Lonchura striata: one gene and its partners. The protein of the gene in region 3 interacts with the protein of the main gene of each other region in a pairwise test. Links are inferred from orthologs where the notes say so. Each region holds a gene or a part of one and is shown on either strand. Other genes may lie near its edges. The genes, in order: KATNBL1, KLC4, KATNAL1 and COX17.

Region 1 (7,744 bases), on a different chromosome or scaffold from region 3:
GCGGGTGATTTCTGAGAGCAAGCGACCATCTCCCCCTTTTATTCTCTTCAATCTCCAGTAAGAAGAAGGACTAAAGTAATAGCAGCCATGTCTCCTGAGCATAAGCTGGTTTGTCCCTACACACAACAGACAGTACCTGTGCGAAGTTTTCTTGATGGTTTTACTGGTATTTTCTATCTCTGATCTCTCCCATATGCAATAAAACTCTTCAGGTCATACCAGAATTAGGCAAAGAAATCAGCACTAACAGGCTTTCAAGTGCATATCTGTCCAAGGCAAGTATTAACAACTCTGCCACTCCCTCCCATGTCCTAAGTTCTGGGCACGGCCCCCAGAGAGGGACAAACTCTTCTTGGCACATTATGTAATCTACATGCATATTAACATAATAAAATTTTCTTACAGAACACAGGCTGCCATACTTTGCATGGCAGTAAGGAAAACCTAAAATAGTTAGATCTCTTAAGTCATCAGCAGTACCTTTTAAAACACACACTCTTCCATCCTATTCCTTGTCCAAATTCTTAATAGCTACTTTTTCCTGCAGCATGCCCCATGCACCAGCCATGGGAAATGCTCCTGTGATATTCCTCCACCCCACAGTAGCCCAACTGCAAGTTCAAGGATGACAATATTAAACTCAAATGAAAAGCCTCATTAATCATTACTCCCAAGGAAGAGAGCACATGCTTTGAAAGCATTCCAAATAGGTATGCATCAGGGTCAACTCATTTAACTGGCCATTATCAGATCTACAATGGTCACAAGAAACTTCCAAGAATGGTTATTTCAAATTTATTTCCAAAAGGGTAATTTGCTTACAACAATAAAATAGCACTATCTTATGACGTAGAAGTGATTTTGCAAGCTTGGCATAACTTCCTTTCATTTTAGCTCTGATAAATGTTACAGAATCCATGTGTCTTTGTGTTTTAGAAGGCTTCCACATCCTTTGCATAGGAAACAGTTTGTTTTTTTTCTAATTCCTTTTTTAGTAATTGATGTACTCACCAGCTGTTAAAATTGAGTTTTCTTAAAAAGAGGAAGTGGCATTCAGATTTTAAGGAGTATGTTAATGCAAAACTTTTCTGCAACATTATAAATAGTGGTATATGCCAGCAGAATACAGTTTTTTAATGTGCTACACTTGTCAGGGCATTTGTTCCAGATGTTGGTAAAAACTACAGGAATTTCTCTAAATTTGCAGTAAATAAAAATACTATTTGAACAACTAATTATGGTAAATTAGCTTATACCTAAGATTTAAGTTCATTTTCCTCTTACATATGAAATTTGTATGTGGCCCACTGTTAGTCATAATGAACCTTCAAAGATAACCACAAGTCACAGCTCATCCAAGTTTAGTGAGGATGAACCCAGGTGTGCATTAGCTTTCATTGTGGAAATAGCCCAGGAGTCTAATAACTGAACCTTACTTACATTTTCTACAAAAAAAAAGTAAAGAACTCAGTTTTCTGCATCTGGAGGTACCATTTAGAGGTATGTAAAGGTGCCATAAAGTAACAGCAGCTCTCAGTGGTTAAGTCCTTTCTGAAGTCATCTTTCACTAACGAAAAGATACTTCTACCTGTTGATCTTTACTTATGAACACTCTGGTGACAATAAGCTTGAAAAAGTTTTATAACTGAGAGATGTTAAAAAGCTTTTATAAACATTATAAAAGAAATACATTTCCACAACACTAAAGCTTCCACATTAACGTCTTACACAACTCTTTAAGAAACTACCCATGAAATTAAATACAGCAATTTCTTCTACCATTTACTGCTCAACCCAAGGAGTTTTAAAAAACTGCAACAAGAATGTTGAACTCAAACCCAGAGACAGACATACTGACAAACCCCTCAAGCTCCAGACTTGGTGGAGGTTAAGGAATTATTCACTACATGCCCACCTGGCTGAACAGTCTGTCACACAATTTTCACATGGCTTTTTATGCTACCCTCAAATACATTCCTATTATTGACTGTAGTCTGTTTACAGCATTTTAAAAAACTTTCTTCATTTATAGTCAAGCTTCTTACCCCAAGACCAACACACAGTAAAAGTGGGTATGAAGTGATGTATATAGATACACGTGGCTGTAAGAATATATGTGTATCAGCATACTGACATACACTTTCTAATATACATACAAAAAATACCTTCATAATGTAATTTTTAACATAATGAAATTCTGAGTTTTAAAGTTTAGGAATTCAAATCAATTCTAATTTTAGTTCAAGAATGTCTTCTTTCCTATCAGCAAGGCCAAAGAGGCACAAACTTGCCTTCTGTTAAGAGATGGACGAAAGCTGCTTTTAAATAAACAGACTTAACCTTTCTCCAAAGCAGAGCATGTTACAAAAACAGAAACAAAAGATTTCCAAGATCATCACGTAATCGCTCCTTAAGAGAGCTCTCTATACATAACATCTTTATTTTAAACCTGCATGCAAAACTATCCAGCCCAACGCTGAAAAAATAATTTGAAGCCTTTTGAACGAAGTAATTAATGCAGGATCTGATCTTCAAGCACATAAGGTCCCCCCTCACCCCCCCCCCCCCGTCGTAACCCTGGAATCTGTCACACCCAAGAAATTAAATCCGTCAGCAGGCCTCACACCCAGCTTGTTGTCCTCCCTGTCGGCAGCACCAGAGCCTTCCCCGCTCTCCTGGCACGGCCCCGCCACTGCACGCGCCTGCTTCCAGCTGGGGCTGCCGGCACCATCTTGGAGAGGCGCCCAGCGCCAGAGCTCGCTGTCCGGAGCCGGCGGGCACCGCGCACCGCGGGCTCGGAGCGATCCGCGCCCGCGCACTGCCCGCGGCCCCCGCCGCCGGCCCGCCCGCCCGGCGCGACGCCGCGGAGCCGCGCCCGGTCCCGGCGGGGCAGAGCGCGGCCCCGCCGCGCTGCCGTGGCTGCGGCCGGCCCCGCGGCACTCACCCGCTGCTCATGTTCGGGGCCGGGCCGGGCGGAGGAGCGGCGGGAGCGCTACTGCCGGGGCCCGGCGCCCCGAGCCTGCGCCATTCAAACGCCGCCGCGGTGCACGCCGGGCCGCGCGCGCCGCGCCACGCCCCGCCACGCGCGCCGCGCGGCATCGCGGCGCCCCCTGCCGGCCGCGGCCTCGCGCCGCGCCCCGCCCCGCCCCGCCCCTCCGCGCCGCGCGCTGCTGCGTCACTGCGCGCGGGGAACGCCGGAGAGCCCCGGCATGGAGCGGCCGGGAGGGAGCCGGGGAACGCCGGAGAGCCCCGGCATGGAGCGGCCGGGAGGGAGCCGGGGAGCGCCGGAGAGCCCCGGCATGGAGCGGCCGGGAGGGAGCCGGGGAACGCCGGAGAGCCCCGGCATGGAGCGGCCGGGAGGGAGCCGGGGAACGCCGGAGAGCCCCGGCATGGAGCGGCCGGGAGGGAGCCGGGGAGCGCCGGAGAGCCCCGGCATGGAGCGGCCGGGAGGGAGCCGGGGAACGCCGGAGAGCCCCGGCATGGAGCGGCCGGGAGGGAGCCGGGGAACGCCGGAGAGCCCCGGCATGGAGCGGCCGGGAGGGAGCCGGGGAACGCCGGAGAGCCCCGGCATGGAGCGGCCGGGAGGGAGCCGGGGAACGCCGGAGAGCCCCGGCATGGAGCGGCCGGGAGGGAGCCGGGGAACGCCGGAGAGCCCCGGCATGGAGCGGCCGGGAGGGAGCCGGGGAACGCCGGAGAGCCCCGGCATGGAGCGGCCGGGAGGGAGCCGGGGAACGCCGGAGAGCCCCGGCATGGAGCGGCCGGGAGGGAGCCGGGGAACGCCGGAGAGCCCCGGCATGGAGCGGCCGGGAGGGAGCCGGGGAACGCCGGAGAGCCCCGGCATGGAGCGGCCGGGAGGGAGCAGGGGGATGCCGGAGAGCCCCGGGATGGAGCGGCCGGGAGGGAGCCGGGGAATGCCGGAGAGCCCCGGCATGGAGCGGCCGGGAGGGAGCCGGGGAATGTTGGATGATCCCGGTGATGGAGCGGCCGGGAGGGAGCAGGGGGATGCTGGATGATCCCGGTGATGGAGCGGCCGGGAGGGAGCCGGGGAATGCCGGGGAGCCCCGGCACGTAGCAGGCGGGAGGGAGCAGGGGGATGCCCGATGATCCCGGTGGTGGAGCTGGGGGTCCGCGCTCTCTGCCTGTCTGCCGGCCGCCAGTGACGAGCCATGGTTAGGAGTGTGCAATGCCCAGACTGACTGAGAAACCCACGGTAGCTCCACGCTCTGCTGCATTATCACAGAACCACAGAATAAGCTGATTTGGAAGGGCCGCACAGGGATGTCCAAGTCCCACTCGTGCATAGCACCATCCCCAAGAGTCACAGCATGTCCTCGAGAGCACTGCACTCTGCCAGGCTGTGCTGTTCCAGTGCTTAAACACCCTTTGGATGATAAACCTTTTCCTAATTCCAACCTAAGTCTCCCCTGACACAACTTCAGGACATTATCTTGGATCCTGTTACTGGTCACCGCAGAGAAGAGATTGGTGACCCCTCCAATTCCCCTGAACAAGAAAGTTGTAGACTGCAATGAGATTTCCCCTCAGTGACCTCGGCCACTCCTCATATGGCTTCCTTTCAAAACCTTTCACCATCTTCATTGCCCTACTTTGGATGCTTTCCAATAGCTTAATAACATCTTACACTGTGGTACCCAAAACTGCCCCCAGCACTGGAGGTGAGGCTGCCCCCAGTGCAGAGCAGAGCAGAGCAGAGGGGACAGTCCCCTCCCTTGCCCAGCTGTGATGCTGTGCCTGATGCACCTCAGGACACAGGTGGCCCTCCTGGCTGCCAGGGCGCTGCTGACTCTGTTCAACTTGCCACAAACCAGGACCTACAGGTCCCTTTCTGTGGTGCTGCTTCCCAGCCTCTCGTTCCCCATTCTGTCCATACATCGAGGGCTGCCCATCCCAGGTGCAGAATCCAGCATTGTCGCTTGTTGAAGTTCATATAATTGGTGATTGTCCAGCCCTCTGAGATGGTGTCTCTGCAGGGCATCCCTGCCTTTGAGGGAGCCAACAACTCCTCCCAGTTTTGTATTATCTGCAAATTTGTTTAGTATCCCTTCTAGTCCACAAAGGGCTCAAATTTTGTAATGAAAATATAATTTCTGTCAAGGTCCCATTTGTGTTTTCAGAAGCACACAAGTTGTACTCTGGCTACTCAGCAATGACTGTGGACCATCTAGCCGCTAATACTGACAGGTTCATTATGGTTATCCTAGGGGTCAGCTGTAGTAAGTTCCATTAAAAATTCCCACTTCTTTTATGTATTTTTCTTTGATTTTGTTTTTGATAAGCATACTTTCAGTTGTTTTAAATTTGTATGTGGATCTTGAAAAACAGTTCCCTTAGCTAAATAGTCTTATACCTTTTCTGAATATATTCCTTAGCCTATTTTCCTTTAACTTACTTTTTTTCTCCCGTCTTTTCCAAATTAAAGAAAAAATTAAAGTTTCTTTTATATTTTTGGTTTGGTTTTGTTTTTTTGGGGTTTTTTTGTGGTTTTTGTTTTGTTTTGTTTTGTTTTTTGCTTTTTAAATTTAAACAGTTGATTAATTTTTTAATATTTAAATTTTTTTGCAAGACCTAATTGTATATTTTCAAGTAAAATAATTACACATGACAGATTCCAGTTTTTGTAGTCTATCTTAGAACAATGCTTTTTACTACTTACTGTGACACTAAGTGTGATGTGGTAGGATGGCTATGGACAAAAGATGGAGTAATTTTAGTCATTAGAAACATCATGATTGTGAATGGATTAAGCAGGTTATCATGAGAAAAGCTGACCAAGAAGTTTTATATATACACACTGCACACATTTCTGTAGCTGCCCTAAGTGAAGCTGTACGAAACATGAAGGGAGGAATGAACAGTAAGATAGCAGCAAGGAGCTTTGCTTGTCCGTTCCCCTCTCTCAAGGGCAGCTCTTTTGCAGTTCCTTCCATGGCTCCCCTGTAAATGAGTTCTTTGTGCATGGCCTGACAGATTTGAACAGTCCAGTCTTCCAGATGGGTGAAGGAGTCTAACTAGATGTCCTGGTAATTATGGTAATTATAGTGGGACAGGATTTTATAAGATCATGATATGTAATCTCAATCACGTTTTTCTGCAGGAGTGAAAGAATATAGATTCAAATATATCCAGGTCTAACATGGAAATGTACACTTATTTATATTCAAAAATTACTTACTGGCTCCTTCCTCTTGTATTCTCATATTTTCAACCTTCATACTGGTACTTACTTGCATTTTTAAAGAATTCTAGTGATTACATCTGGTTATAGAGAAGTTCAGAAATTCTGTAAGTTTTTTCCCTAGCAGTTATCTTGAACTCTAAATTATATGTTTTATGTCATCTTCACAAATGTAAAAGTAGCTTCTCTGACAATTTATAGTGTATAACATAAATTTTGATAGCAATTGTGGATGCAATACAGAAATCTATTGTGTACTAATTAAAAGCTTGAATGCAGCAGAGCAAAGTACTTGTGCAGAAGGCAAAGAAAATGAGGATATAGGATGAATAATAAATTCACTAAAACTGGTTCTTCTGTTCTGAGCTGATTAAGGTGTTCTGACTGTGTAGTGTTAATACCAGTAATGTGACTCTTTTCCTGAAACCTGCAAAAGGGAATTCTATAATGATATTTTTTTCTTATGATGCCTACTCCATTTATTTCCAGATTGCATTTCTCACAAACAGCCTACTTGGTTTTTCTATTTCTCCTGACATTTTTTCTGCAATAAACTTTTCCTTCCAGATGTTGCATAAGTAGTACTATCCAAATTGATGCAGTAATTTTACCAGCCTGGCTTCTTTTTCATTCCTCCTTAGGCAGAATTTAAAGTCAATAAAATGCACTGACATTTGTGGACCTTCTCCCAGATCTGCCTGGGCTGTGCAGTGGATGGGAGATTTGAGGGGGCGGTAGTTACTCCAAGACTATTAACTGTTTAATCCTTAGCCCTCAGGTTGGAGACAGGATGGCTCAGGCAATTGGTAATGGGATAAAGCTTTTCACCTCTGAATTGCCAGCTCTGGGCCAGAATAGTAGGACAGGTTATTTCCACCATCTGGTGTCTGGTCAGCGACCCATATGAGGGAAATCAGTAGCCATCCCTGCTACTGGCGAATAGCTTTACAATTAACCCCCCTCGCCCCCCAACGCTTACTGTGAGAACGATTGCGCCACAGACAGCTCCAAATGAGCACGAGGGCTAAAAATCCCTCTAGAAACGTGACGACCAGGACTCAGCACACTGAAGGGAGTGTGGGAAAATTTGCCAGCATGAGCTGTCAGGGGATACTGTTTCACTGGGAATATTCACTTTACACAGGAAGCTAGATTTTAGACAGCAAACCACGGATGATTCTTGGCTGAAAACAACAGCAGCTTGTAAGAAGAGTAACACGATTTTTCTGTCATGCAGAAAAAGCTGAACTTCAAAAGGCAAATATCTACCAATAATATTTCTTGTTGGCATATGATATCAATACTCAAACAGATGAAAAGGGTGGTCTGTTCAAATGTGTAAAGTTTTTGCAACCTGAGATAGATTAGCAGATTTAATGAATAAAGAATTATGAATCAGTGTGCCATATTGGGATTATTTGTAACAAAGCACTTCTGGACACTACATCCATTTCCTATTTTAGAAAAAAGGCCAGCATCCATGAATTGGGCTAAAGTCTGAATTTCTGAAGTCTTCTGAAGCAATATTCTGTCTGAATCAAGAAACAT
Region 2 (7,857 bases), on a different chromosome or scaffold from region 3:
CATTACCTTGCCCTGACAGCATGAAGCAGTATTAAAGCAGGCAGAGTAATTCCCAGGAGGTAATGCCTCTGCAGGCATCTGTCTAATGTGAGGGCTATGCACTAGATGTGCCTGAGCCATATACAGGAGATAACCAGGATGCAGATGGGACCAGCAGGAGCTCTGGAGCCACTCTGTGTGCCCTGAGGGACTCTGGTATACCCACACTCCCTCCATGGTGTACCTGGGGCACCTGCAAAGACTAGCCGACTGCAGGCTGCAAGACTGCACTACTATTTCCAAGAGCAAACAGCTTTTGTAAACCACAGCAAGGCAGGCAAAGTCATAGGGACAAACCTCTACCTGCAAAACAGGCAGAGGACCTGTTCTATCTTTGGCTTGAGCTCTTTGAGGAGCTATGCGGCTCTTTCTCAGCAAATCAAGCATTTATCCAGTAACTCTGCCAAGGTCAGTATCTTAACACATGTCCTTTGTGCCCCAAGAGCCATTTTGGTATTTGGGGTTAATGCTGTTGTTCTAACCTGGACATTCCTCCAAAACAGCAGATGAGAGAACACATGCTTCCTGCTCCTTCTGCCAATTACAGCAAAGCACAGCCATGTTTATTTACCCTGCGCCTGAGCTGGCCAGATCTTTGACCTGATGTGTGCTGAACACCACCCTCTTTCCCCACAAGCACAGGCAGGGGTGGGTGTTTTCTGCATCTCCAAGGCGGCGTGGCAGAGAGGAGACCAAGGGCACTAGAGGAGAGCCGAGCATGGAACTGCAGCAGAGTGCCAGATGCCAGCTATGCAAGACGCAGGGAAGCCTGCTGTTTCTGGTAATGTGCTGCTGCCTCCCACCATTGTGCAGATTTTCCCCGGCTGCCTGGCCAGAGCATTCTACCGCAACACCATCCCCCAGCTCTTCTTCAGACACCTCCTCCCAGGCGCATCTCTCCTTCACAGAAGCTTACCAGCGATTCCCCCAGCCTACCACCTTTGGTAGGGTGCCCCTCCACTTCGGAAAACCTTAGGATGCAGTTAATTAATGAAAAGACGGTTTGGGGCAAAACAAGTCTCTCTGAGAGCTACTGCTGTATGACCTGCTCCGTCATCGTTTCTCCGGCTTTGTCTGGCAGCAGGAGGCACGCCCGCTGCGTATCCTTGAAACAAACAAGCCAGAGAAACCCCTTCACCCCTCAGAACCACCACAGAGAAATTCTGCGCCCACCTGGCTAAGTGAAAGCTTCACAAGGGAAAAAAAGTTTTCATCAGCTCTGCCCGAAACTGCGCATCAAAGCGGTCCTTTGTTCCAGGATGGCTGGGCACCCTGCCCATCTCAGTCACCGGATGAGAATGTCCCCCGCCCCGCGCCGCAGAGGAGCGGTACCTGGCTGCCTGCAGCGGCTTGTCCAGCGCCGGTGCTCGCGGAGGCGGCGGAGGAGCGGCGGCCGCGGCGCTGCGCGGCTCCGTCTGCCGCGCCGCCCGGGGAGCGAGCAGCGGCGCAGGCACCCGGCGCTCGGCAGCCAACCACACTGCGGCAGGGGGAGGGGAGGGATGCGGACACGCTCCGGGAACAGGACGGTCGGACGCTCTCCTGGGAGCGCAGAAAGCGCCACGCACGCCAAGCTCACAGCTCCCTCCTCGGAGATCCACGGGAGCGCCCAGGAGCAGGGCCGAGCCCCCACGGTGCCGCCAAATGCTTCCCAAGCAGCACTGGCCACCACCGGGCTCCTGTTCAGCCCGACAAAGCCCCGTTCCATCCCACCCTCCATCCTGTGGCCGAAGGTTTTACATCCTGTTTGGTACCACCCTCGGCTGTGTCCCCACTGCTGACCCCATCCCAGCCTCCAAAGTCAAGCTGGTGTAGCTGCCGAGAGCCCCCCAGCTGCATGGAGGCTATCGCTGTGCCCACAGCAATGGACAGATTCAGGAGATCTGGGAAAGCTGGAGCCCTGCTGTGTCCACACTGCGCAGTGTGGGGTTAGGCCGGGTACTGCTGGGAAGCACTTGTTCAGTCTGGCTGCTCTCCTCAGAGAGGACAACGACACGGGATCCAGCTTAGATTGTTGCTACAGCCATCCCATGCACGGTAACACACAACTGTCACGGTGCTCCCGACGATGTCCCCAGCTATCTACATCTGCCTGAACCAGTACTGCACCGGTGTTCCTGTCCCTCCACACGGATTCCCCCAGACGGGGAAGGGCTTCAGGTGTCCCAGGAGGAACACAGCTCAGCCCAGCCATGTTGACACGCAGGTTCTCTCTTGCCTCATCGCACAACACATATTTATTAACTAAAGCACCTTGGTGCCCTCCATTCCCTAGTTCTGGAGGGCAAATCTAGCTGGCTGTGGGGGTACATACAACTATGGCACGCTTACATTTCACATAAGTTACACAGCAGAAGTGCAAACATAGATTATTTGTGTTACAGTGAAAGCCATTCTTGGCAATGAAGACACAGACTAATTATAGAGCAGTGAATCCCGCAGTCTGTGCCTACAGCACCCTGGAAACAGCCACGGCCGGGACTTCGGGCTGACCCACAGCTGCCACACACACATTGCGCTCTTCCCCCGGGGGCTCCCGGCCTCCGCCGCCCGTCCCTGCGTGGCAGTCGGTCCTGCCCGCGGGGAGGCCAGGCGCACCGAGCCCGCGTACCGGGAGCTACCCGAGCAGAGCGGGCACCGGCAGGGCTCCCGAGCCAGCGGCTCCCGGGGCTGAAGGGGGTTGATCCCGCAGGGCGCGCCTCGCCGGCTCCAAAGTCCGCAGAGCCGGCAGCGCCCTTAGCGCCGACCCGCAGCGTTACGGCGGGCACGGCCCGAACGCTGCCCTCGCCCCCGCTCGTCCCGCTGCCCAGCGGGCAGGGCGCCCCGAGCCTCGCCAGCCCAGCCCAGCCCCAGCCCAGCCCCACCACAGGGCCTCCCCAGCTCCCCGGAGGGTCCCACCGCCCCCCGCGGCTGGCGGGGCGGCGTCGCCCCGGGAAGGCCGCCCCCGCTCCGGCATGCGCCGCCGGGCTCCGTGTGTCCTCCCCATGCCAGGGTCGCCGAGGGAAGCGACCGAGCCCTCGTAAACCCGCCCGTCCAACCTGCTGGGCGCAAGATCTCGATGGCGGTCCCAGTCGCTGTCCCGGTCCCGGCGGGGGCGGGGCGAGACCCGCGGCCGGCACCACCCGCCCTCTCAGCGGCGCAGCCCCTTTAAATCCAAGATGGCCGCCGCCTCAGCCCCGCCGGCGGGAGCGCGCCACCTGCCGGCGGCGCCAGGTGAGGCCCGCGGCGGCCCCGCCCCGTCCGGCGGCGCCTTTCCGTGGCCATGGCGGCGCTGGGGCTCTGCCGCGCCTTCGGCGCTCTCCTGCTGTCGGCGGGCCCCCGCCGGGCCCGGCCCCCGCCGCTGCCGTCCGGCCCCCAGCCCTGGCTGCCGGGGCCGGTGTCGGCTCCTGCCGCCTGCCGCGGGCTGGGCGGCTCGGCGCCGCGCTGCACCACCGACCCGCTGTGGAAGTGCCGGGTCAAGTACACCGTGCGGCCCGTGGGCATGAAGAAGACGGGCGGCCGCGACCACACAGGTGGGCGGGCGGGCTGCCGGGGCCGGCTGGGCGCGGGAGATCCCGCCTGCAGCCGCTCCCGTGTCCCGCAGGCCGCGTCCGCGTGCGGGGAATCGGTGGGGGGCACAAGCGGCGCTACCGCATGATCGACTTCCAGCGCCTGCGCTACGAGGAGGGAGCCCCGCCGGAGCCCTTCACCGAGAAGGTCATCAGCGTCCGATACGACCCTTGCAGGCGAGTGCGGCGTGCGGGCTCGGCCCCGGGCCCGGGCAGTAGCGCCGGCCCGGCCCCCTGCTCACCCGCCGCGGGTTCTCCGTGCAGGTCGGCTAACATCGCCTTGGTGGCTGGCGGCAACCGCAAGCGCTGGATCATTGCCACGGAGAACATGCAGCCAGGGAACAGCATCACGAACTCACCTCACATTAGTAGGATGGCAGGTGCACGCCAGGGCCAGGGGCAGCTGTGCTGGTCTTGCCAAGGGCTCATCGGCTGCTCCTTGCCCAACTTGTCAGCTTCTGTCTTCCAGTGTCAGCCAGTGAAGGGGACGCGTACCCACTGGGGGCTCTGCCTGTTGGCACGCTGATCTGCAACCTGGAGAGCCACCCGGGGAAGGGAGCGCAGTACATCCGGGCAGCTGGTATGTCCCCACACAGGGAACCCACTGCTTGTAGGAGCTTGGCTGAGCACAGCTGGAGAGGATGGTAGGGGAGCACTGGCCTGTGACAGGGATTTGCCATCTTCTTATGTTAGAGTGCAACACATCCCTTCTGAAAAGCAGGGGCAGCTCTGCCCCGTTGATTCCTCAAGGCTCTGTCTTCAGCAAGAAGTGCTGCATTTAGTACAATAGTGGGGGCCTTTGGGGAGTTACCAGCATGGGGATGTGCTTGTCACAGGGTGAGATACTTGTCCTGCTGCTCAAGGCAGCTGCCTCCTCTCTTGCCTGCTGCAGGTACTTGTGGGGTGCTGCTGCGGAAAGTGAATGGGACAGCCATCGTGCAGCTGCCGTCCAAAAGGCATATGCAGGTAAAGGAGCTGTGCTGCCCCTGGCTCGACTGCCTGGGCACACAGCCGTATGCCCCCAGAGAGTCCTGCAGCTCTTCTCTCTCCCCTAGGTGCTGGAGACCTGCGTGGCCACAGTGGGCCGCGTGTCCAACGTGGATCACAACAAGCGGGTGATCGGGAAGGCGGGCCGGAACCGCTGGCTGGGCAAGCGCCCACACACGGGCTTGTGGCACCGCAAGGGTGGCTGGGCTGGGCGCAAGATCAAGCCTCTCCCACCCATGAAAAGCTATGTCAACCTGCCACGTGTCAAAGCAGTGGAGTGATGCCCAGGGCGAATAAAGCGTTTTTCATGCCGCTGCTGTTGCATTACTTTTGTCTTTTATGCACAGGGTCTTTCCTCACTTTCCCACGGGTCAAGTTCTGCTGTGTTCAGTCCCTGGCTGGAGTGGAATTGGTGGGAGAGATGAGTGTGGGGCTGTGGATTGCCTTGGCTTGAGTTTGAGGTTGGTGGGTGACCCGGTGCGGTCAATCGGCACAATCGTGTCAAACCTAGCTGCAGGACACCCGAGCTCTTCTCTCACCCTCAGCTTGTGGAGGAGTGAAGGCAAGCGGACTGGAAGGTGGCTTCCAGCCAAGGTGACTGGGAAGCTGCGAATCACGGACATCATCTCCTCCCAGCCCCGGCAGCGCCTCACTGCTCCCTGGCCCTTCTACCGCCGGCCGCTGCGTCCTTCCCTCGCCGCCTTCCCTGTCCCACCCTGCCCGTCCCTCTGCGCGCCGAGCGCCGCGCTGCGCTCCCGGTGCCCCGCTCCGCCGAGCGCCGAGCGCCGCGCTGCGCTCCCGGCGCCCCGCTCCGCGCCCCGCCGAGCGCCGCGCTGCGCTCCCGGCGCCCCGCTCCGCGCCCCGCCGAGCGCCGCGCTGCGCTCCCGGCGCCCCGCTCCGCGCCCCGCCGAGCGCCGCGCTGCGCTCCCGGCGCCCCGCTCCGCGCCCCGCCGAGCGCCGCGCTGCGCTCCCGGTGCCCCGCTCCGCCGAGCGCCGAGCGCCGCGCTGCCGCCCGCCGGCCCAGCCCTCGCGGCCGCCGTCGGGCGGGTCCGCGCAGGCGCCGCGGCCGGAGCGGCGCGGGAGCGGGGCGGAGGTAACGCGGCGGCCTCGGCGCGGCCCCGGCGGAGGGCGGGCGGCGGCCGGGGAGCGCCCCGAGCGGACCGGCCCGGGACGGGCCCGGGCCGTTTGCGGGAGGCCTCGGTCGCGGCCACCGGCCGGCCGGGCAAGAACCGGGCCGGGTCCAGTGCTCCGTGCCCGGCGAGCTCTCGCTTTGCCCGCGCCTGGAAGGAGCTTTGGTGCTGCCGCTGGCGCGGCCGGCCCGCACGAACCCTCTCCACGGGGATGGCAGTGCCGTGCCGCCTGCCTTTAGCATGTGTGCCCGGGCACAGGCCTGTCCCTCACCGTGTCCCGGTTCCGGCTGGGCCATGTGCAGCTTGTGCTGGCCTCCTGATACCGCATGTGGGCTCTGCCTGCCTCGGGCAGCTCGCTCCATCAGCACGCAGCCGGGTGTTATAGCTAAGCTTCCTGGGGAAAGCTGTCCTTCCTGGGCACTGCTGTCCGTATTCCTGCCGTGCCCACAGTCTGTTGGACAGTCCAGAAATCACTGTGTTTTGCCCTGTTATATTGTAACTATATGCGGCTTTTCAAGGAGAAAGTAAGCCATATCTCATACTTGCTGTGTTAGGGCTGTACAGCACTGTCCTTGAGTACAGCTGGTATAAAAGCACATTTTTATGGCTGCATTGCCATATCACCAGCACTGTCACACACAGGAACACGGCTCTCTAGCCATAGCATGCCTCAGCCACCTCTCCCCAGCTCCTGCTTCCCCTCTGTCTCTGCAGACACATCTGCTGCCATGGTGAATGAGAAGCACAATGGCACCCTGCTTGTGCAGCTGGGGCCCAAGCTGCAGGCCCGCCCAGAGAAGCTGCTCCGGCAGCGGCGGGGCCACGACGACCGTCCGGAATACCTGGTGCAGTGGAGCGTTGTTAGCTTGGAAGAGAGAGCAGCGGGAGGCGGCAGTGCCTCCTCTGGAGAGACCAAGGCAGAGAACATCTCCATGTGGATGTCTGCAGAAGAGGTCTGCGCCAGCTGCCCAGTGCTGCTGGGCCAGAGGAGGCCGGAAGGGCCAAGGCTGAAAGAGGAGAAGGCGCCTGGTCCATTGGCCACGGAAGCCTCGCTGGCCGAAGCCTCGCTGGACGAAGCCTTGCTGGACGAAGCCTCGCTGCTGGAGATGAAGGCCGATGTCAGGAGCCTGGTGCAGCGAGCCAGGCGCCAGGTGGCCGAGGCCGGGACACCCGAGTGCTCCATCCTGAGCACGGTGCACGTGCTGGGTGCCTACGCCAGCATCGGCTCCCTGGCGGGTGCCTTCAGGGAGGCGGGAGCCCTGGAGCTGCTGACGAGGATGCTGTGCCACAGGGAGAAGCAGATCCGCCGCAGTGCCGGCGAGATGCTGCACGCTCTGGGTGCACACGATGCAGGTGGGGGCTGCTCCTGCTCGGTGCCACTGAGGAGGGGTTGCTGGGCAGCTGAGGGGTGCCAGGCCTTTGGGATGGGTGAAATGCCTGGGAAGCAGCATGTCTCGGGGCTTCTTGGCAAAAGGGGAAGAATCAGTGTGGATCTTCCAGACTTCCATGGTTGCAGTTGTCTGGACTGCTCTTGGAGTTAGAAACTCTTTCCCCTGCCAGGTTTCTGAGCTGGGATGCTGATTAACTGTTAGGAGTGTGAAGGAATGTAAAGGCTCCTCTGGCAGCCCCAGCACCTCTGCTCCACTGCTGGAGCCCAGCCTGGGGAATCTGTAGTTTCTCAAGCTGAGAGATGCAGCTGTCATTTGCAAGTTTTCCATTTGCAGGTTCAACCAGTAGCAAAGCTGATTGCCCATCCTGTAGCACAGACACAGGCAGGACTCAGCACACACTTACAGCACTCACATAAACACAAGTACAGCCAGCCGTGTCCCCTCCTGCTCTTCGTCCAGCAGAGACAGAAGGTCACTGCAGCTAGCACGTACTGCATTTTCCACGTTCACAAGTACACACACATTCATGGATCCCTTGGGTACCAGCATGGCCCTTCTCTCCTGAACATGTGCCTGGATCCAAGCCCTTCTACCAGTCTCAGGGATCCCCGTGCTCATTGTTAAAGCCTGCTACCTGCCAGTAAACCTGTAGCACTTTTGTTCCACAGTTCACATTAACACATCCCTTGGGACTTCCAGCACACCCACCACCCACCTCATACCTTGGTCTGGACCCAGGACCTCCTCCTTGCTATTCCAGCATGA
Region 3 (7,338 bases):
GTTCCTGTTTATTTTTCTAATTTCTGTCCACAAACTCAAAGCAGAACAGGTGAGTTTTTTTCCCAGTGTACTGTTGGCTTGTTTCAACTCATCTCAAAGATCTGTCTTCTCTTCCACCTGTGATTTACATTAAAGTGACACTGGCCTATTCTTCATCATTTTAATCAATCAACTTAAAATTGCTATAACAGCTTTCTCTCTCTAGGGCCCTAACAACTCAACACATTGGGTGGGACTCCTGTCACCTACCTTTAGACATCTACAGTGCAAACACACTTAGGCTGATCAGATGAGTCTGCTGTAAGCATTGGAAAAAAAATAAGCACATTCAGAGCACAATCCACTTTGGCTGAAGCAGGAATTGTATCCCCAAAATCTTAACTCAGAGGAAAAAGTCTACATGACAGATGTCTACATAGACCAGATAAATAAAAACATCCTTGCCTATTCCACCTCTCACCTTCTGGCTGTTTAAAAATCAACTTACACTGTTCTCTATTATAAATTGACAGCACTTTGAGATGTGCCTTGTGGAAAGGATGTTGATTAAATCTTTCTCAGGGTTCAGACTCTGAAGTTTTTTCCTAGGAGAAAAATTGGTGGATGTGTCATACTGGTAAATATAATTCCATAAAAATATCTATGCAGAAGAACAATTACTATGCGTGTATGAAAATTAACAGCCTACTGATGCCTTTACTGACTTGTGCATAACTTCCCTTGCAAGGTTAATGTCCATGAATATGTAACATGCACCTTCTTCTCCCTACTGCTTCCCTATTGTTTTTCCCTTTTCATTATTACAGCATTTCTCCATACAGCCTGTAAGACCTTCGGTAAAGAGTTATGTTTGCATCTGAGCATTAAAGCTTATTACGAAGGCACAATAACTCCTGTAGTCTAGTTAAATATAATTGCAAGGGGAAGGGAAGACAGAAGCAGAGGGCAGTTCATAATTCACAGACCTCTCACATGATTTCAACCTTCTCCTTGCAGAACTTTGTGGGTGGGAGGAGGTTACAAATGAAGCTCTCTGCTACTTTGTGCTAAAAGCCTGCGCCAGCCCTCTAGTCAGTGGAATTTATGTAATGATAACCAAATCAATTCAGAAACCAGTTTTGTTAATCTGTCAGAGACCCTAAGAGTGCAGAGCTTTAAACTTCTCTGACAGTGTCTGCAATTACTCTAGCAGAAGAGACACTTCTGAACCAAATCTAATGTTCATGGCAAAAGAGTTACATTAATTTCTATCAGCTTCTGATTGAACTGACTAGAATAAATCAGAGTGAGTGGGCACACAATCAGCTCTACTGGCAGATTTGCAGATTGCTGGAAAGGGCCATGATAAGTCTCTGGGGTCTGGCTGTGAGTAATGCTATCCTCCACCAACACATCTGGATCCTGCCGAACCACACTCGCTGACACCCACCATCATCATGTCTTATCCAGAACTGCTAGGTTTATAGCCTCTATCAAAAAATAAAGAAGTTGTAAACCATGAGAATATGCTCAGAGTAGAACAAGCTTCAGTGGCTTAAGGTGTCACCTCCCCTCCCAGCAATTTCCTACCTCCTCTTTGCCTGAAATTCATGCCTCACAGCAGAGTTGGTGGAATGAGACACACACTAGTTCCAGCTGTTTCAACACAAGGTCCAGAAAATTAGCTTAAACTGCTCATAAGATTACTTTAACATCATATTTTGCATTAAAATGGCTTAGAAAAATTAGTGCTTTTCAATCCAGGGACTGCTGTAGAGGCAGGAACCTTCAGTAAGGAGGTCAGAGAAGCATATTTTTTGCAGCAGTCCAGCGAGATTTGCTCAAATTTGACCTAGCATTAGGAAAGACTAAGAAATTGCACACTTAAAGTTATCATTTTTATGGCTTACTAACAGGCTTATGAACTTCTGATTGCCTGACTGGACTAGGTGGCCTTCTGAGGTCCCCTCCAACATGAATTACCCTGTATATCTAGGGTGCGTGGCCAGGAACCTGAAGACACAGTTCTTCCTGCTGACACAGTCACAGCACATCTTGGCAAACTGTGGAGACCCATGCTTACCAAATTTCCCCTCAGAGTGGTCAAAATAGGTTGACACTGGTATTGTTCTGGTGCTGAACAACTGCTTTTCAGAAGGGAAGTCAGCTGTAGCATGGGGACCCTCTGCCACTAGGAAGCAGCCCCACTTGACTCAATTGTTACTAGAAAAAGGGATGGGGGGAAAAAAACAACCAGAAAAATAGAGATTATGCCCAAATAACCAACCTTCTCTGGGTCACAATTTCCTGGCTGGGGGATACAATCCTCAGACCAAGCACTTAATGTGCTGCCTAATGTGGTAAGAGGTACATAGTCTCGTGGGAAGGGATATTATGGAAGTGCTGGGACAGAGCTGCTTATCATCTGCTCTCCCCTAGAAAGGCTGAACTCTGTAAGGTCTGCACAGCATCTATGTTTCTGCATATGTGAAAAAACAGCAGGAATTGATGTCATGGACAGGCAAGTTCGAAGAAATCTGGAAAAGGGGGAAGCCAGAGTTGCAGCTGTTATGAATTCATCACGATTTTGGCCCTGGTTCCAAAATTCTCACAAAGACATAAGAATCTCCACATGATTTTGAGGCAAGCAAGATCTGCAGATCTATGAGAGACACATTCATGCATGCTGTATTGTTTAAGAGGCATACTGAGCTTTTAGTTTCAATCCCTGCTCTTTCACCTGCGTCAGTTAGCATTTCTGAGAACCTTACTGTGAGATACAACCTCATGCCGCTGCCTTAAAGTAACAACAGAAATTTTCCAGAGAAATCATATACTATTATCAGGTACGATCACAAGATCATCGTCACTGGGATGCTCTCAGAGCTGTCACAAGGCAGTTTCAGCAGTAAGGGCTCACTGCAGTGGTGCAGCTGCACACAGAAACACAACTCGGATTCACTGGGATTGCAATGGGCTACTCCTGCCTCCACATCTCCTCTGCCTTCCTTGTGCCTGCAGCACCTCTAAGAATCAGCTAATTCGGGAGCTTTCAGTTCCAGCAGAACTCGGTTAATTTTTTGGAGGAGCAAAACTGGCTGTCCACCAGATCAGATCCCAGGCTTGCCTTGCCAGATGGCATCATCAGTGTTACTGCGGTGTAAATAACAAACAGAAAGGCATATCCATGATCAGAGAGGAATGCAGGACTGCCCCTTTCGGTGGCAATACAGACACAGGCTGTCTTGCATTAACTGTGAAATTACATCCCTAGAAAGGTTTGTAACTGCATGGCTCCCCTCGCAGGACACCAGACTGCTAGTATTGACTGTGAGCCGCACGCTTCAGAACACTAGGTAACATTCACCCTCAGGAGATGACACAAACTGGGTGGTGCCACCCTGTGAGACTGCCTCTGATCACCAAATACCACTTTGGTCCAGGAACAGGGCAAATCCCTAAATCTGTTCCTTTACGGTACTATAAAAGTGTATTACACTGCAATAGAAAAGATAATCCAGTGTCCTTCTGCATGCCCACGCAGGACAACCGTATGCTCTGCATTTCCTAGACACACCCACAGACGAGCTGGAGGCACATGAGGTTTGCATTCAGACTGTGAACGAGCTCTGATGTGTATTCAGAGCTCTTCCCGCTGGTTCCAGCCGCAAGGACACGACGCAAGGGCAGAAACTGATGCACAGGAAGTTCCAGCTGAACATGAGGAAGGACTTCTTTAGTGTGCAATGACTGCGCAATGGAACAGATTGCCCAGAGAGGTTGTGAAGCCCCCCTCACTGGAGCTATTCAAGAAGGGTCTGGACGCAATCCTGCGCCATGTGCTGTGGCATGGCCCCGCTTGAGCAGGGAGTTTGGACCAGATGACCCTTCCAGCCTGAGGCATCCTGTGACTGTGATTTCAGCCTCCCGCCCGAGTCCTGGCGCAGCAGAGCGCGGCGGGCGCTCAGCAGCCAGCCCGGGCGCTCGGCTCCGGCACTCCCTCCCTCCCTCCTGCCCGCCGGGCCCGCGCCGCTCCAGCTCCCGCAGCCAGCGGGGCGCTCTCCGCCCGCCTCCTCCGGGGATGCTCAGCGCGGAGCCCCGCCGAGGGCTGCTAAACGCGGGCTGGGCGGCGGCATCCGCAGCCATCGCCGGCGGTGCCGCGGGGTTTTCCTTTAGGAAAATATCCCTTTCCCCCGCCGCCAGGACACGGCGGAGGCGCTCCGGAGGCCGGAGCGGCGGGGCCGTCCCCTCCCCGCGCCCGCCGCCGCCGCCATGGCAACCGCCCGTCGCCGCGCGCGCGCACCCCCTTCCCCGCCCGCCCCCCCGGCCCCGCTCTGACAGAGCCGCAGCGCTGCGCCCCCTCCCCGCGCCGCTCCCGCCCGCGGACACGCACCCCCGGCTCTCCCAGGTAACGGCAGGGCCCGGGAACGGGGCAGCACCTCACGGCGCTGCTGCCCGCGGCGGGCGGCGGCTCGGACCCCGCCACGCCGAGAGAGGCGGCGGGGATGCGGGGGAAACCAGCGGTAGAGGCTGGAGGAGGGTGGGGGCGCTCCCCCATCTCCCGCGGAGCGTGCCGGGAAGTGTAGTCCGCGCCCCCCGCCGGGCCTTGGGGGCTGCCGGGAGAAGCGGCGGGAGGGAACTACAGCCCCCAGCGCTCCCGGCGGAGGGGGAGAGATGGGTGCTGCGGAGGGGACCCCTGTGGGGACGGGAGGCTCCCTCTGAACGAGGGCACTGAGGCGGCTCTCCCCGCGGAACAGCGAGGGACAGAAGCCCCTGTGGCGCTGCCGGGACGGGAGGGGCGCTGCGGCAGGGCCGGCTGGGAGGGTGGGCGCAGGGGCGGTGCGGCTGCGAGGGGAGGTGCGGGGCAGGGCAGGGCGGCGAATGGGGGGTGGGTGCGGGAGAAACACGGGTGGGTGCCTGCGGTGAGGGGAGGATGGGTTGGGGGGCGTCTGGATGCCAGGGCGGGAGAGAAAGAATACAAGGAAAGGGGCACATGGGAACATAGATGGATGGATGGATGGATGGATGGATGGAGATGTGCTGGAGGAGGAATGCTGGAGCAGATGGACGGAGAGAGCTGTGCAGAAGGCAGGGCAGACTGGAGTGTGGGGATGGGTACGAAGGAGGCAATGGTCAGAGGGAGCTCTGGAAAGTTTCCCCAACCAGTTTGCATTTATGGTTTCCACTTTCACATCTCCTGAAACGCTTAGGCTCTGTTGAGCTTGTTTCACTACGTGGTCTGGACACAGTGTAAACTTTTAAAAATTATTCTGCTACATTTCTGCTTTTCCCAAAAATTTCTGCCATGATGTCAGCATTTGTCCCTTTTCTCTTTCCATTTCCTCTCCTGACAGTTCTCGTGTTATTTTTTACCTTGTGTTCTCTAACAGTCATGGAGGGGAATAAAATTACAGTTTCTCTATATATCATACTTAAAATACACATGTTTATGACTAGTATATAAGGGGGTGTCATTTTTTCTTCCTGAAAATCTCTATCTTAAAAGCATCAGTGCATTAGTACTCCCTTGTATATGAATATTGAATGTCTATTCCTACTACAGTTTCACATTTCACAGTGATGGGTTTCTTTCCAACGAACGCTTGATTGCAGTTGCAGATTGTTGAGCAGTTTCTTTTTTCTTCCTTTTTCCCCCATCCCTGTGTCAGCTATATCCTAGACAGGCTTCAGCTTCTTGCAACTCCTGGTACCTGCCACACTGCAGAAGTGAACATTGCAGCTGCAGCGTGCTTCCAGGGTGCTTGGCTCTTGGAGATTTGGGCTTTTGAGCAGGTAATGGGGAGAAATAGATCTCGCCCTGACCCAATTCAAATCAAAAGCCTGAGAAATAAATGGAATACAAGAAAAAAAAAGATAGGCCTTTATCAGGCTTTCTGTGTAATTAATTAAAAACCAACTGATTTTTCTGGGGATGAACTGAGAAATCTGAAGACTGATGTCTGTAGCACTAACAGCAGTATGCCTATAAATGTATATATTTTTTAAAATGTATGCTATTCTATTTGAATAATACATATCCTTAGTCTTAAAGAACCAATTATTTGAAATTCACAGTGGGGTTCAAGAGGTGTAAAAATATTCAGCCCAAAATTCTGACCTTATGGGTCAGGGTTATAAACACCTGTGTGAGTGTATTAAACCTGCAATTATTCATGGAAAGCTTATCTGGGATGCAGCTTGGCTGAGCTGGGAATGGAGCAGCAGCAGCACCCAGTCTCTGTGGCGCTGGCTGTGGTCTGGTAGGGCTCATGGGCTGCAGCATGGGGGGAACACGGGCGTGCTGTATCCAGGCCAGGTGCAGGAGCAGTTTCACTGCTTTTCTTCTGGGCACAGAGCCCGACCTAAGAAACGCTCTGAATGCGAGCTGGCTCTGTGCAGGCCCATCTTGGGAGCCTTTGGTGGCATGTTTGCTCTACCAGAAGTGCTTACGCACATGATACGCAGAGAAGCAAGTGGCTCCACAAAGGACCAGAAGGATTATTGACTCGGGGTGGTTCCACTTCGTTGCGCTCCAGACAGGCCCTAAAGAATCCTTCAGGTATCTGGGCCCTGCTCCTGCAGAGGAGGGCTTGACTGATCCACCTCAGTGCTGGTCCCAGCTGAACATGGGCCTGGGTTTGATTTGATACTAATGTCAGAAGCCCTGGAGGCTGTGCTGGAGAGGAGAGAGAGGTGTGGAGCCAGCCGGGGTCCAGCAGGGCTAAGGTGGAGCAGAAGCTGGCAAGCCTGTTACTGCCTGACCTGTGTGTGTATGGAGTTATGCTCCCCAGAGTACCCCACTGCATTTGTTTTAGCTCTTTTCCTTACCCGGCCTTGCTAATGAATACCTCATTACCCCAAGTAATGGTGGTGTGGCCATATGGATGTGTCTGAAACTGGTGTATGAGGTGCTTGGAGAAGGATACAGTTCACACTCAGTTTTAGGAATAGCACAGCCATCTCTGATTCTCCTTTCTCCTTCTTCAGAAAACTGTACTTCAAAGGCTCTGTAAATGGCTATTTCATGCTCCAGGATGCTTTCTGTTTGGCTCACCAAACTAATGAAATCTCTAATTTAAATCTCTAAGTTAATCTTTAATTAAAAGACTGACCACCTATTCAGTGTTTTGTTATGTCTTTACTTTTGTCTTACTGTGTTTACTTTTGTGGTGAATGTCTTTACTTCATTTGAAGATTTTTTTTTTCACTTGCACTCCAAGTAACTCTGTTTCAAGTTAAGAATGCACACAAAAATAGTTTGAGGCCTGCACACATGCTTCTTCTCCTTCCTACTTCCCATACACATTTCCCCATTAACTCCATGTCTGCTATTGTAAAACAGAGTTTCAGTGCAAAGAG
Region 4 (7,215 bases), about 41 Mb from region 3:
CGTGCATAGCACAAGACCAACTCCACAATAACTCAGCATAAAAAAAGATTTACTTTCAGGCAAGTAAATAAAACTCAGCATAAAAAAAAAAACTTTACTTTCAGGCAAGTAACCTGCACATAAGTCTCTTGCAGTGATAGGGAGCAGAACTCTGCTCCCTTTCCCTTGAAGAACTACTGGCTCAAGCAAGTTTGAGGTGGAAAGTACCTAATTTTTCATTATAAACAATCAGCTCAGGTAACGGTATTCAAAAACAGTCAGAAGAATTCGAACATGGGGAAATCAAATACAGTTTTGACTCTAAGGAAGTTCATTTCATAAGACTGTGGTCACCTTTGTACAAACATAGTTACAGCTAGTGTCACAAACAGCACTGCAAGCTTCAGCACGGCTGCTGAAAGCTGCTAGAGCGCAATGCTACTAGCATGATTTCACAATTTGCATCAGTGGGAAAACCCACCAAAGTTCTCTCTGCTCAACCACACCACCTCAGTAATCAGTAGGAAGAAAGAGTTCCTACGTTAATGATTAAGCAGGCTTTCCTCATTCTCTCATTCTTGCAGCATGCTGTTTTCAGTAAGGAGGGCACTGTCACTTCTTTACTTAAAAAGAAACAGAAGGCAGGAACACTGGTCATTTTCAGGGTTTTATTAAGAGGAAAAAATAATATTTTCTATAGCAGTGGTCAAGAGCAAGCAGTGGAAAAGCTACAGATGTGATGCATACTCTATCTTTAGACTCTTCATAAATAGACTCTTTGTTTATATTTGTTCTTTGCAGTAACTTGCAGAAATAATTTATTTTGCAGCTTTCCAGAATGCAGTCACACCAAAGACATCATCTAGAAGAGAAAGGAAACACAGCTTCACAAAACATGGTTTTCCACTGGATATTGAGCAACAGTTCAACAATCAACAAAAAAACCCCAGCACAAACCCACAAAAACCAATTCCCATGTGTCCTAGCACCAGAAATCTAAACTGAGGTTTGGATCTCTTAGCAGACAACAGAGGCAGCACCATTCTACTGCTGAAGAGTGACTCATAGAGGCTGTGTATTGCCAAGGGCTTCACCACCCTCACAGGACAGCAATGTTGGCTGTAATGCCAATGAGGATTGCTCTGCCTTCCCTCTCATAAGGGCAACACCATCACGAGCACTACTCTGGGCCTTCCAGTGGTACCAGCTGAAGTGCCAGGGCACTTCAGAGGCAGAGGTCCTGAAGGCTGTACTCACCCCACTCAGTCCTGCTCATCTCACTCATATCTTGAAGCCCAGAGCTCTCATACACTCTTTGTGAGCTTCGATTAGGTGCCCACAATTTTCTTCTCCCTTCTCAATAATGCTGCAAAACAAAAAGATTTCCAGGGTTCAGCAATAAAATGTTCACTTACTTTTAGTCAAAGAAACAGAATTGACAAGCTGTTGGGGACAATTAAAAATCCCTATTAGGATCTAGAGATTTTCCCATCCTGTCCAGGGTAGTGCTGTGTTGGACAATATAAAACTATCCCAAAATGTTACCCAAATCTGGAGCTGTGCACCTAAAACTCTGACAACAGGCATAACAGAACTTCCTATTCACAGGCCAGGGTCTATTCTGGGCAAGTCCGGATGGGGATTTGTTATACAACACAAGACTGTCACATCATCAAGTATGCTGAGCTGGCCAGTTTCCAATTATTCAGCATGGAAGCAACAAAATTTCTCCAGTAACAGAACAATACAGAATGGGCTAATCAGTAAATTATATTTTAGTCCAACTTCAGTTGCAATTTAAGGACCCTGAAGCAAAAAGCAAAACAAAACACAACACCTGCCCAGCTATTGTTGAAAAAATGATTCACCATATATGATAACTTTTGATGTTACTCATCTATCCAAATAAAAGTCTCTCATTGTTGGTATTATCATGTATACCACAAAAGCAGTTCAGACTTGCTTTTTGACTGAATGACAGAACTGTTTAGTTTTTTTCTTAGGTTTTTTTACAATGAGCATAGACATCCCCTGGCTGCCCAGGGCAACTCCATCTGACCAGTACCATCCACCCTACCATCGTTTTCTTAAGGGTCCCTGTATTCACCCTCACTATACTATGTAATTAGACATGTTCCCCTAAACTTAGCAAAAACAGTGTTCAGTATTGTCACCTACCATCTATACCACCAGCAAAGTTAAAAAAAAAAAAAAAAAACAAAGAGACAATTTGGTCATCAGATTAAAGATTTTTAAACCTTAAAGATTCACTGTCAAAGGAGCTCCATTTTGAGGGTGCACTTCATACTGTTTTATAGGTCCTACAATCACGACTAAGCCTGTAATTACCAATGCAGCTATACAGGTCACTGTCAAATTTTGAACTTCTCTGGGAAATGTCATCCTCTGAGCCTCAAAAAACCAGAATATTTTGCTTTATTTAAAAGAGAATGTAATTTATACTCAGGTGAACAACAAAGAAGTTATCACCTGCTGATACGCGTTGCTTCAATCAACAATAGTGAAGATCTACAAAAACCGTCAGAAGAATTCGAACATGGGGAAGCAGCATTAAAAGCTGATCTCTGAAACCTGTTTTAAACGCGGGCTATGCGGTTTTAAACCATTCATTTCTACAGCGTGTTTTTACGCCAGTTTCCTCTCCTCCACGCTGTCCCTCCTCCCTGGGAGGCTGCGGCAGGGAGAGCGCCCTCAGCCCCTGCGCAGGCCGGCGGGGCACGCACTCGGGGAGGAGGGAATGCGGCGGGCAGGGCGCACAGCCAGCGGCAGGGCGAGGCCCGGGCACGGAGGGGCGGCCGCGGGGAGCTCGGCGCCGGGTCCCTACCAGGCGTCCCGCGCCTTCTTGGTCTCGGGGCAGGCGCAGCAGGGCTTCAGCGGCTTCTTCTCCTCCCGCGCCTCCGCCGCGCCCTTGCCGTCGCAGCTGGCGGCGGCCACCGAGGACATGGCGGGCAGCTGCGGCTCCCTCAGCCCGCGGGCAGGACGGGCCGGCGGCCGTGCGAGCGCGGCTGGTTCCGGGAAGCCGCGGCTGGTGCCGGGAAGCCTGGCCCGCCCTTCCCGGCCCGCGGCCTGCCGGGAGGGGCAGGGCAGCCTCCCGCCCCGCCTCTTCGCGGCCGTCGCGCTTCGGCGCTGCCGCCGGTGCCGGGGCGCGAGTGGCGTACTCCAGGTCACTCGGTAATGAACGAGCCCGAAGGCACGGAGGGAGCTGGCAGCGCGGGGGAAAATAGCGTCAGGCGAGAGCAGCGAGTGACGCCCTCGGCTCTGCCAGCGCCGGCTCCACCCTTAAAGCTGTGCCCAGCCGCCTAACCTCTTCCTTCCCACCCAGCCAGCGGGGAAAACACGGGATCAGTTCATTGTGAGGGTGGTCACACGGATACAGCACACTCACCATCACTGGCATCATTAATGTCGCGGTTTCATGGCAGCGGCCCAGCAGGGCCGGCCCTTGGCATTGCTGCAAAAGGATGTGCTCTGATGCTTGATCTTTTATGTTTTCAAGCTTAAGCAACAAGAAGGGATATTTAGTTTGTGAAACAGAGAGCAACTAACGAGCTCCAAGTGCTGTCCATGCTTCAGTGATCTCAGACCTGGGAGGGAGTAAAAAGTCCTGGAAAGAAGAACGTGCACTGATACTGGACACAAAGAATGCAGAATGTACAGGCCACAAGGACATCTGGCAGAACTGCCAAGATAAGGAAGAAAGCAATAAAGTCAACTCAGCAATTGTGTTAAAATAGCTCCAACTGGGTAAAAATTAATTCTGGTAGGGGGAAATGGTGTCCACCAACTCAGGTACTACTGACCCCAGAAACCTACTGACTCAAGTAGAAGACTGAGCATGTAGACTATTTAGCATGAAAAGCGTGAAAATCATTAACCATAAAAGATAGAATACTAATTTATAAGAGAAGTATGTAACTTGTAAGCAATGAACATTAATTCCTTTGTTTGCTAAAATGTATAAATAGCAAAAAGCTTTGGTACTTGGTGTGCTTGATCTGTGGAATACCACAGAACACCCAGGTTTGCACAACTCTAAAATAAATAATCAGTATCTCTGCTGAGTGTGTAATTACTGGGTTGTTGCATACCAGGTAATGTATCCAACTTTTGTGGACAACAGCATGGGCAATAAAGGAGAAGATACAGAGCTGCTTTTCCTTTGTAGTCTGTCCCAATCCGAGGCATCAGAAGCCACTCTTGCCTTTTAGATCTCTGCCACATACAAGCCACAGCTTGGCTTTTAGCTCTTAGGCCATAGTCTGTCACCTCCCAGTGGTACATTTTTGTTTGTCACCAGTCCTGATGACTCCAACGTGATACTTACACATATTAGTCTGGCAGGCACACTGCAGACCAAAGCGGTGACCCACACAGGTAATGGGGGAAGGGCAGGACAGCAGTGGATGTGACACTGCTGAGACCTTGCAAAGGGAAAAGATTAATATGCCCACTGGGATGCAGCTCCTGTGCCTTTAAGTGGGATGTTGTAAGAGTCAAAAAAGAACTGGCAGTTTCTATCATGTACTAAGGGGATCCAAAATCATAGGAACACTGACAAGAGCAAGGAGGAACAGAAAGTGTCATGTAATTGTAGCACTCACTCTCTCACTCACTCACACACTCACTCACTCACTCACTCACTCAGTCACGCACTCACTCACTCACTCACTCACTCACATAATCACCACTGAGTTATCCATGGATCTCTGCTCAGTAGCCTGTTCCCCACCATGCCATTTCTCTGGCAAGGTTGTTCAGGTGACCAGCACCCACACAGCCTTAAGCACATGTGCATTGTGAGGCCATGCCAGGTGTGATGATCTGGAATATGTACAGGTTGCACTTGTTGACCAAAATATGATTTTCCCAAATTCACACAAACATGCTGCAAGATAAAAGCCGAGATTGAAACATCTATCAAAAGCACACATCAGTTCTCCAAAGCAATGCCTTGTTCCTAGTTTGTTAAACATACTAAGCATGTTTTCCTTTAAAATTAAATATCTTTCTCTTTCCTTCCTAAAGCTTTATTTGCTGACCACTTTCCAAAGGCCTAAATAGAGTTGTTGATAGCTCTATCTAGCACAAACTTTGAGGGAAAGACTGTAATAAAACCTCCAAGAGGGTTTCTCAAGTTAGCAGTTGAATCGTATCTTTTATTTAGCTTTTTTAATATTAAAAACAAAGTTTGAAAGTCATTGATTTGGCCTGTAGAAGCCAGGAAGACACAAAGCAAAATACATTTTATACTCTGGCCCAAGTTATGGAATGTCAAGGGAAGAGGGAGATTAAAATTTAGTCATCATCATCTCTCAGATGACTTTAGATGGGTCTGCACAAAAGGTATGGCCTCTGAAGACTAAACATCTCTGGAAGCAGCATTCCACTCTAGCAGCCTTCCAAAGGCTAAGGAGGAGCACTGCTATTTTGGCCATGTTCCCTGCAGGGTGTTTGTACAATTCTCTTTGTAACAGAATTGCCCCAGAAAAAGGAATAATTTTTTGGTGGGATGAAAGGACAGAGGCTGGAAGGGAGGAGAAGGAAAAAGAATATCCATTAAAGCATGGTTAACACATCTCAATACTGATTGCACCCATTTGGAGTACAATGCAGAGGCGAGACCACAGCCATTTCTCTTCTGACACTGCACTGTGCATAAGAATTGATTGTTAACTCAGTCATTTTTGTTTTCTATTTCTCTTCTGCCTACTGACAGTGGCAGAAGAATTATGTTAGAGAGCTATGTGTCAGAATGAACAGATTTATCTAGTAGACAAGAAGAAATAGCTAAGGGCTGGCTACTGAGATGAGGCTGCGAGAAAATTGCCAGAACAAGTACCCAGGAAAAAAGATCCAGTGAAAATCTCAGTCTCTGAAAGAGATAATGAGAAAAGACCCTCCCTCAAGCTGCAGTATCATTTGGCAGCCTGGTGCCATATGTCAGAGTACAAGGACTGCAGGGTAGCACTGGACATTTACAGCTCTTGACTTAAAGGACTAATGGGTGAAACAGGGAGAGACTACCCAGCTGTCATGGGTTTCCAAATTATTTCCTCTGTACAGCCCTTTATCAGAGTTGAAGAATATAACAGCAGTGGCTCATACTGTGTGAACATCACAGCAACACTGCGTCATTGCCACTGGCTTCCTGTGTATTCAGTTTCACCCACTAAAAGAATGGTTACCCAAAAAGATGTCCTTGTCTCCAATGGACAGATTTTTCAAGGAACCTCAAAAGTGTATTTACATTCATTATTGCTGTTAGGTTGGGTAAGCCCCTATCAATGTCGGTTGAAAGTAACAGTCTAGGGCAGTCTGGGGTTTTCCAGGTTTTCTACACTTCTGAATTACATGATAGAAGGTACATTAAGCTTTGGAAATTTTGTGTGACGAAACTGAGCTGAAGGTATTTTGATATTTTCCACGTATTGCCTATTCTGGGAACCACTTTATTATCTTGAAAAAAGAAACCTGTTCAATATAGTCTAAAGAAGTACTTTTGGTTTTGACTGAGTATAAACATAAGACAGCCAAGGCTCCAGCAGCCCAGTCAACCATATGCTGTGTGTTTTACTGTCAAAGAAGTTGTTTATGTTTTGTGTTAATGCTTAGATAACGTGAAAATAAAGGATTTCAAAGCTCTGAGCAAGATGTCTTGTCAGGACCCTGCTGCCTCTTATATCAACTGCCCAAGAACAGGATAGAGTTTCTCTTTCTGATCAAAGCTGCAGACCTGCAACTGCCAAATGCTATCGCTCAGCAGTGGAACCAGATAGAAAATGAATGCTGGGATAGAAGGGCTTGTGCTCCAGTCTAGTACAATGGAAGAGACTCTAAAGTCATTATTTACACTCCCTCTAAGCTTCAAACTCCATCTTTATGTGAAGACAAGGGGTTCAAGCACAGGACTGATATCACCTCAAGAAGCAGGGCACCAGTTCCTTCCCAGACTGAAGAGGCAAATCCTCCTGTTTCAGGACTACAGTATGAATTCTGTACACAATGATTCTGTACCACAGGACTGAACCATCCCCTTCTTGGAAGACCACCTTGGAAGTTAATATGGAGGAAGTCTCCTTGCCCTGGAAAGCAAGCCCTTAAAAACACAAGAGCAGAATCAAGATTACTTTAAAGGCATTTTTGTCTCTTGAATGCTCTACAAAGCCAGTACTGCAACAAATCATCTCTTGCCAGAAACACAGCCAAATCTTCAGA

Evidence for each region.
Region 1: the proteins of KATNAL1 (region 3) and KATNBL1 interact in binary tests that used the Homo sapiens proteins (3 or more experiments, as listed by UniProt). The two-hybrid records come from large-scale screens. The link is inferred for Lonchura striata from reciprocal best matches to the Homo sapiens genes KATNAL1 and KATNBL1.
Region 2: the proteins of KATNAL1 (region 3) and KLC4 interact in binary tests that used the Homo sapiens proteins (3 or more experiments, as listed by UniProt). The two-hybrid records come from large-scale screens. The link is inferred for Lonchura striata from reciprocal best matches to the Homo sapiens genes KATNAL1 and KLC4.
Region 4: the proteins of KATNAL1 (region 3) and COX17 interact in binary tests that used the Homo sapiens proteins (3 or more experiments, as listed by UniProt). The two-hybrid records come from large-scale screens. The link is inferred for Lonchura striata from reciprocal best matches to the Homo sapiens genes KATNAL1 and COX17.

The regions. Positions count from the first base shown.
Region 1 is NC_134608.1:31,725,640-31,733,383, forward strand, and holds the start of KATNBL1 (KATNB1-like protein 1), read right to left. Parts: upstream 3,051-7,744; 5' UTR 2,945-3,050; intron 1-2,944.
Region 2 is NC_134605.1:18,667,552-18,675,408, forward strand, and holds the start of KLC4 (kinesin light chain 4), read right to left. Parts: upstream 3,206-7,857; 5' UTR 3,075-3,205; intron 1,501-3,074; exon of another isoform or gene 1,372-1,500; intron 1-1,371. Other genes in the region: MRPL2 (large ribosomal subunit protein uL2m), read left to right, coding at 3,299-3,548, 3,620-3,761, 3,849-3,964, 4,054-4,164, 4,477-4,550, 4,640-4,852; cullin-9, read left to right, coding at 6,430-7,054.
Region 3 is NC_134604.1:68,165,572-68,172,909, forward strand, and holds the start of KATNAL1 (katanin p60 ATPase-containing subunit A-like 1), read left to right. Parts: upstream 1-4,299; 5' UTR 4,300-4,387; exon of another isoform or gene 4,388-4,476; intron 4,477-7,338. UniProt on the Homo sapiens protein: Regulates microtubule dynamics in Sertoli cells, a process that is essential for spermiogenesis and male fertility. Severs microtubules in an ATP-dependent manner, promoting rapid reorganization of cellular microtubule arrays.
Region 4 is NC_134604.1:27,333,685-27,340,899, forward strand, and holds COX17 (cytochrome c oxidase copper chaperone), read right to left. Parts: upstream 3,044-7,215; 5' UTR 2,944-3,043; coding exon 2,825-2,943; intron 1,346-2,824; coding exon 1,261-1,345; 3' UTR 1,237-1,260; intron 842-1,236; 3' UTR 634-841; downstream 1-633.